2 linked regions of the Callithrix jacchus genome follow. The protein of the gene in region 1 interacts with the protein of each later gene in a pairwise test. Links are inferred from orthologs where the notes say so. Each region holds a gene or a part of one and is shown in the gene's direction. Other genes may lie near its edges.

Region 1 (4,179 bases):
CTCCCGCCTTGGCCTCCCAAAGTGCTAGGGTTACAGGCATGAGCCACCGTACCCGGCCCCAGCCCCCTTTCTGTAGTCGTGTGAAAACTGGCAGCTCAGCACTGCATCTGGGCCTCAGTTTCCTCATCTGTTAGATGGAGGAAATCAGAGAAGCAGCTTTGGATGGTGCTCAGCACTAACATTCCGCATGTACGACAAGGCTTCTGTGAAGGTAAGGGCTTTAAAAAATCTTGGCTGAGCCTGGGCTTGGAGCTCCCACTGCTGTGATTTGGCAACCTGTGTCAGCTACTCACTTAGTGACCTTGAGCAATTCATTTCAGCATCTCCCAGCCTCAGTTTCCCCACCTGTAAAACAGGGATGAGGATGGTGCCTGCCTCCCAAGCACATTTGGCCATGGCCTCACATTCACACTCATCTTTGACATAATCTCCAGATGAAACTGGTGGCCACTCAGTCTCCGAAAGGCACTGACAGTAAAGAAGATGGCATTTATCAGACCTCAGGACACCTGAATTAAGGTTGTCATAGCTCCTGAAATTATCCTGAGTGACACAATTATATTGCATTATATGTGTGGTTAGTTCAAAGCATTACCTTATCATAAACATTAAAAATATATCACCCAGCCTGGGCAACACTGCGAGACCCCATCTCTATAAAAACATAAAAATTAGCTGTGCATGGTGGTGAGCGCCTGTAGTCACACTGACTTGGAAAGGGCGCTGAGGCAGGAGGATCCCTTGAGCTCAGGAAGCTGAAGCTGCAGTGCGTGGAGATCGCGCCACCGCACTCCAGCCTGGGTGAGAGACAGAGACCCTGCCTCAAAAATATAAAGTAAAATAAAATAAAATATGTCACCATTTTTGTAACCCTGGTTTATCATTTATTCACTTTTCATATACTCGAAGTCTTAAAACAAGGCCAACGGCAAGATCTCCACGAAGCTTTGGGTGGCGATTGGCGTGGCTCCTGGAGACGTGATTATTTCGTGCTATTTTGTGGGAGCAGAAACGGAGGCCAACCCAGACCGCGAGAGGGCTGGGGCGGGGCGCGGGCTCGGGCAGGTGCGTCAGTCCGCGGGGTAACCCCGGGCTCCACCTGGGTGAGGCGAGGAAGTTGCACCATGTATGGGCAGCTACGTCAGGGGGGCGGGCCCGCCGCCGCCGGGGGACGCGGAGCCGGTCCCTAACCCGGTGGAAAAGCGGCCGCCGGGCTAGGGGAGGCGTCGCCAAGTTTGAGACCGACGGGCCTCGGCGGCGCGTCTCAGGGGTGGAGCCTGGAGGTGACCGCGCCGCTGCAACGCCCCCACCCCCCGCGGTCGCAGTGGTTCAGCCCTAGAACTTTTCATTCATAAAAAGAAAAGACTCCGCACAGCGCTGGTGAGTCAGAACCCAGCAGTCGCGGACCCCACGGAGCCGCCAGCCCCGGGCATGTTCCGAGACTTCGGGGAACCCGGCCCGAGCTCCGGGAACGGCAGCGGGTACTGCTCCCCGGCGCAGCCCCCGGCCTCAGGGCAGGCGGCCCAGCAGGTGAGTGGGGCCAGACGCCGGGGGTCCCCGGGAGGACGGCGCGTGGGAGGCCGGGGTCAGCTCCCGCACGCTCCGGGACTGGAGCCGCGAACAGGAGTCTGGGCCGGGCTGGGGGCCGGGGCGAGGATCCTGCCCCTTCGCCGTCCGGGGCCAGTTTCCCCCGCCGCGCAGCCCGCGGCACCGAGATCCGCGAGCCTCCCTTCCAGCCGCCTCCTTCTCCCTCGGCGCGCGCGTCCGTCCCTCCGTCTCCGCGCCCGCTTTCTCGCCTCCTGCCTGCCTCTGATTTCTGCGTCTCCACTGCCTCGAAAGGGGCGTGGGCGCCTAGGTTGGCCCGGCCCAGACGGCTCGGAGGGTCTCTCCGCCTCGGGCTGAATTCCTGGGCTCTGGAGTCTGGGCCCGGGCGGAGACGTCCCCACAAAGGAGGGAGGCGGGATCCGTCGGGAGAGCAGCGGAGCCAGGGTGGGAGTCTCGGCCCCGTCTGCGACCGTACGTGTGTCAGTCCGCCTGTCTGTCCTTCGCTCCTCCGTCGCCAAATCCCTGTCGTTTCTGGGCCAGGGGAGCCCGAGGGGGCCGGGGCAGTGGAACCTGCCAGGTCCCCGGAGACCGGCCCTCGACCCCTTTGCGGAATGCGGCTAATAGAGACCGCGAGGTTCCGGGACTTGCGCGGGGTCAGGCTGCGGGCGACTCTCGCGACCCACTCTCGCCTCCGAAAAAAGGCGCCCGCTACCCACCGGGGGTACCCGGGAGGCTGCAGGTGCCTGTTTCTTATCGAGGGGCTGAGAGCACGTGTCGACAGGGGCGTCCGTTCCGCCGAGTCACGGCAGCCGAGTCACGGCGGCTGAGTCACCCGGGGCGCCCCTCCCTTCCTGGCCCGGGCCGGGACAACCTCGGGAGCGGGAGATGCCGCCGGCGGTGCCTCGGACCCGGAACTGGGGTCACTGGGCCGCCGGGCCCGCAGCGCTTGGGATCGGGCTACCGCTGTCGGGACTTGCCTGGGCTTGTGGGGCGCTTCCCGGACGACCGGTCGCCCACACCCAGGGCCCAGCAGCAGAGCTCGAACCCACTTCTCCCAGAACACTGAGCCCCATCCCAACCCACTCCTCAGATAGCTGTCTAATAGAACGGTCGCAGTGATGTCGTGCTGGGTGCTTGCCACATCACTTGCCGTATTTCACAGAATCGAAGACCTCATGGATTTAAGACCCCATTACTTTATGCCACTCATTTTCTTTCTTTCTTTTACTTTTCTATTGCAGCCTCAACCTCCTGGGCTCAACTGATCCTATTGGGATCCTAGCTGGGAGGCAACCTGGCCACAGGCATGCACCACCACACCCAACTGAGTTTTTAATTTTTTTGTAGAAATAAAGTCTCACTGTGTTGGCTAGTGTGACCTGGAACTCCTGAGCTCAAGTGATCCTTCTACCTCAGTCTCCCAAAGTGCTGGGTGTGTGCTACCATGCCTAGCCCACTAAAATTTTTTAAATTGCCAATTAAACTATATTTCAGACCTATTAAAGGGTACTTCTTAGCATCAATGAAATCCTGTAATCCTCATCTGTAGCACTATAAAAAATGAGGAAACGGAGGTACATGAAGGTTAAGTAACTTGCCCCTCACACAGCCAGTAAGTGGCTGAGAGCTGAGATTAGAATTGAGACAGCCTCTCATGCCAGAATGCCTATCATTTCCACTTTGGGAGGCTGAGGTGGGAGGATTGCTTCAGCTCAGGAGTTTGAGACCACCCTGGGCAACCTAATGAGACCCTATCTCTACAAAAAAAATTTAAAAAGCCAGGCTGGGCACAGTTGCTCACACCTGCAATCCCAGCACTTTGGGAGGCCAAGGCAGGCAGATGACCTGAGGTCAGGAGTTCAAGATCAGCCTGGCCAACATGGTGAAACCCTGTCTCTACTAACAATACAAAAACTAACTAGGCACGGTGGTGGGCACCTGTAGTCCCAGCTACTCGGGAGGCTGAGGCAGGAGAAACGCTTGATCCCTGGAGGTGGAGGTTCCAGTGAGCCATGATTGTGCCACTACACTACACTCCGGCCTGGGTGACACAGCAAGACTCTGTCTCAAAAAAAAAAAAAAAAAAAAAAAAATTAGCCAAATGTGGTGGTACACACTGGTAGTCCCAGCTACTTGGGAGGCTGAGGTGGGAGGATTGCTTGAGACTGCAGCTCACTGCACTCCAGCCTGGGTGACAGAATGAATGAGACCCTGTCTCAAGAAAAAAAAAAATTGGGATAGACTGAACCCAGAGCAGTGAGTCTTTCCTGCCTCAGCCCCTCTGCACTGGGCACCTGCCACTTACCAGACTGTCACACACATTCTCACACCTGATTCTCACAGCATTCCCCTGAATTGGGAGCTGTAATTATCCTCTTCATGCAGATGAGTGCAGGAGTGGGTAAGAGCCTACTCACTGGCTCTGTATCTGTGGACGACTATTCTCCTGTCTAAAAATGAAGATACTATGCCAGGTGTGCTCGCTCACGCCTGTAATCCCAGCACTTTGGTAGGCCGAGGCAGGTGGATCACCTGAAGTCAGGCGTTCAAGACCAGCCTGGCAAACATGGTGAAATCCTGTCTCTACTAAAAATACAAAAATTAACTGGGCGTGGTGGTGCATGAGAGGCTGGG
Region 2 (4,013 bases), on another chromosome or scaffold:
CACCATGGGCTCACTTCCTCCCTGACCAGACCATCTCCTGTGCATCCTCCTTCAATGACATGAAAGTGGAATGGGGATGGTGTGGGGTGGGGGGCGGTGGGGAGAAAGGCAGACTTTTCCTTTGTTCTTTTAATTCAGGTGCAGTGGCTACTGGGGAGGATCCAACCAGTGTGGCTATTGCCAGCATCCAGTCAGCTGCCACCTTCCCTGACCCCAACGTCAAGTACGTCTTCCGAACTGAGAATGGGGGCCAGGTAAGGGAGGGGGCCAGGTGGCTGTAGGTGTTATTTGGGGTTGGGATTGAGGGAGGTAATTGAACATGTCTTGGGGTGACCTGGCTTGGAGGATGAGCTGAAAGCATAGATTGTTGCAGGGGAGGGAGGTGCGAATACTGGAGTAGAGACTGGTGTGAGGTTAGATGTATGCTGAAACCTGTGTGTGGAGAAAGAAGGAAGAATGGCTGAATCTGTGTCTCTGAAGGATTCTTGTTTTGGGGCCCTATCCAAGGGAAGCTTTATGAGGGGCCCTAGGATTCCCAGCACTTAATCTGTTCTTCTCTCTTCCCCTCCCTCTGCCTTCCTCTACGCTTCTAGGTGATGTACAGGGTGATCCAGGTGTCTGAAGGGCAGCTGGATGGCCAGACTGAGGGCACTGGTGCCATCAGTGGCTACCCTGCCACTCAATCCATGACCCAGGTACAGGATATTGGTTGGGAGATGACTAGAGTTCTGAGAAGTAAGATGAAGAAGGGAAGCAATAGGATGGGGGTGAAGCTAGGAACAGTGAGGCATCTAGGGCTACCTTGTCCCAAAACACTAGGCTCTCCCTTTCTGGACGTTTTTCTCTCTCTCTGTCTTCTCCACCCTACCCGCTACCCCAAGGGATAGAAGCTGCAAAGTGGTATAGTGGGAAGAAGTTTTTGACTGTTGAATCTGTTCTCTTGCTCCCCTTCCCAGGCAGTGATCCAGGGTGCTTTCACCAGTGATGATGCAGTTGACACAGAGGGGACAGCTGCAGAGACGCACTATACTTACTTCCCCAGCACGGCAGTGGGAGATGGGGCAGGGGGTACCACATCGGGGAGTACAGCTGCTGTTGTTACTACCCAGGGCTCAGAGGCACTGCTGGGGCAGGCGACCCCTCCTGGCACTGGTGAGATATTTCGGGAGGATGCTGGCTGGAAGGGTAGGATAGGCTGTGGGACATGACTGGTAGGCAGTGAGCCTTCACTCATGACTCTTAGTGATCATTAGGACCTGGGCAGGCAGTGAGTCTGGGGATGCTCTTCTTTTAGCATGTTCTTTTTAGAGGGGGGGCCCAGGGTCTTCACCTCAGGGCATGGTGAGGTTCCTACTCATGTCCTGACAGAATCATCCTGTGTCTTCACAGGTCAGTTTTTTGTAATGATGTCACCACAAGAAGTACTGCAGGGAGGAAGCCAGCGCTCAATTGCCCCTAGGACTCACCCTTATTCCCCGTGAGTGACCCTTGTTTCTTCTCAGATTCCATAAGTGGTTTTGTTTGTTTGTTTTTGAGACAGTCTTGCTCTGTCACCCAGGCTAGAGTGCAGTGGTATAATCTCAGCTCACTGTAACCTCTGTCTCCAGGGTTCAAGCAATTCTCATGCCTCAGTCTCCCGAGTCACTGGAACTACAGATGTATACCACCATGCCTGGCTAATTTTTGTATTTTTAGTAGAGACAGGGTTTCACCATGTTGGCAAGGCTTGTCTTGAACTTCCAACCTCAATTGATCCACCTGCCTCAGCCTCCCAAAGTGCTGGGATTACAGGTGTGACACACTTCACCCATCTAGCCTTAAGTGGCCTTAATACCTGCTAAATCGTGTATAATTCTTTAACCCTAAACTCCAATCACGTATTTTATCCTTCTCTTACCCTGGTCACCCTGGGCTCTATTGTCAGGAAGTCAGAAGCTCCTCGGACAACTCGAGATGAGAAACGCAGAGCTCAGCACAATGAAGGTAGGTAAGATCTGTGTGGAGCTAGGAACTGTCTGGTGGGCCTAGGACAGCAGTGATGTCTGAGGGGAGGAGGGGTTAGGTACTTTTACCCTGGGACTTGCAGTGAGTTTTCACGGAGTCACCTTGTCCTCCACTTTGCTCCACAGTGGAGCGCCGCCGCCGAGACAAGATCAACAACTGGATCGTGCAGCTCTCCAAGATCATCCCAGACTGCTCTATGGAGAGCACCAAGTCTGGCCAGGTCATGGAAAGACCCTGGTAGTGGGCAGGATGCCTGAATTCTGTCTCCTGGTATTGTTTCCAGAAATGGTAGAGAGTAGGGCACACATGACCTCTCCCTGAAGTTCCTGTATCCCTGGGAGATACTATACCACCTTTCTTAGGGGAAAATGAGGTCCAAAGTGTGAACCTACTTTTGGAAAGCAAGCTGGGTATCTCAAATCCTAGTCCTCATTTTGTCGGCCTTATCTTGCAGAGTAAAGGTGGGATTCTATCCAAAGCTTGTGATTATATCCAGGAGCTTCGGCAGAGTAACCACCGCTTGTCTGAAGAGCTGCAGGGGCTCGACCAACTGCAGCTGGACAATGACGTGCTTCGACAGCAGGTCAGATGCCCACCCCCAGTGCAGCCCTTCTCAGCTCTACTAGCCACTGACCCAGTTTGACACCCTCTACTTTGTTCTCCATGGAGAGGGCTTCGTCTCTCACCAGTGGATGTCTGAATACATTCAGGGGCTTGGTAGTGCCAGCTTTACTACCCATTCCATTTACTCTCTCCTTCCCATGTCAGGTGGAAGATCTTAAAAACAAGAATCTGCTGCTGCGAGCTCAGTTGCGGCACCACGGATTAGAGGTCGTCATCAAGAATGACAGCAACTAACTATGGGGATCCAGGGGCTTTGGGCCCAAGAACTGCAGATAGCCCAGGAAGCAACAGCCTAATCCCGTGCCCCTTTCCTTCACTGCCCACTTCTGGCAGGGGACTGGGGGGGGTTTCAGAAGGTGTGTCTTTGAACTGAGGCCCTGTGATATGGCAGCCTGCAGTGGTGTGAAACACACAATGTGAACGTGCACTGACAGCCTTGCCCACCCCCACCACGCAGCCCCTGGGCCCTTGCGTTCCTCTCGCACAATGCATGTGCTGCCTCCATGCTGGATACTGGACACACTAAACTGGGGGGCTTGTCCTGTGCTTGCTTAGAGTGCCCAGCAGAGGTCTGCTGACGGGTGATGCTCTGGCTTGCCCCAGGACTCTGGCACTTCCATTGGTTCTTCCTTTCCCTGGAGCTGAGGTTTAGACATGCACCCTGCTGCTCAGGGGAGCAAGCTTACACAAGAAATGGGGGAAGGATGTTTAGCAGTGGCTGGTGCCCATGAAGAGGAGATTGGCCAGCAAGAAGCTGAGGCCTGTGCAGACATCTCTGGAGCCAGGGAGAACTACAGGCAGGGGCCCACTTGGGGCCTTCCCCCTTGTGGGGGTGATTTTTTTTTTCTTTTTTTTTTTTTTTAAAGATAAAACTGTTCAAAGCCACAGTTGTCTGCTTTTCTTCCTTTTGTGGGCCACAGGCTGAAGGGGAGGGGCACATTGCCCTTTGACCAGTATGGGCTGGGGCAAGTTCAGGGTGGGGTGCTGCTCCTGTACTCATTACCCTGCGTCCTGGTTCCTAGCCCAGACCGGTATGTCGTTTATGGCTTACGCTGGAGAATATTAAGGACTCCTGCGGTGGGATGGTGCTAGCGGCGCCGCGAACAGGTGCTGCGGGGGCGGTGCGGGAGGCGGTACCCTTGCTTCCGGATCCGGTCTCAGTGACCGAGATGCTGCGGGTGCTGAGGGGGCGGGCCGGGCCCGCGCTCGGGAGACTACCGGTTGCTGCACACACCATGGCTGGAGGTACCTGTGGGGGATTCCTGGGGCCGAGTTCGGTCCTCGCGGCCCCCTGGATTGAGGCGTGGCGGCAAGGGGGGGTGGGGAGCGAAGGGGCGTAGCCAAGGGGTCCTCGTGCACACCCTACTGCGGAGGGGCGCTGCCAG

What was found. The genes of interacting proteins can lie anywhere in the genome.
Region 2: the proteins of FOSL1 (region 1) and USF1 interact in binary tests that used the Homo sapiens proteins (3 or more experiments, as listed by UniProt). The link is inferred for Callithrix jacchus from reciprocal best matches to the Homo sapiens genes FOSL1 and USF1.

Annotation. Positions count from the first base shown.
Region 1 is NC_133511.1:122,974,899-122,979,077, reverse strand, and holds the start of FOSL1 (fos-related antigen 1), read left to right. Parts: upstream 1-1,379; 5' UTR 1,380-1,431; coding exon 1,432-1,530; intron 1,531-4,179.
Region 2 is NC_133519.1:20,900,196-20,904,208, reverse strand, and holds the end of USF1 (upstream stimulatory factor 1), read left to right. Parts: intron 1-138; coding exon 139-254; intron 255-593; coding exon 594-695; intron 696-956; coding exon 957-1,152; intron 1,153-1,389; coding exon 1,390-1,477; intron 1,478-1,924; coding exon 1,925-1,983; intron 1,984-2,129; coding exon 2,130-2,224; intron 2,225-2,458; coding exon 2,459-2,587; intron 2,588-2,772; coding exon 2,773-2,862; 3' UTR 2,863-3,513; downstream 3,514-4,013. Other genes in the region: TSTD1 (thiosulfate:glutathione sulfurtransferase), read left to right, coding at 3,864-3,873.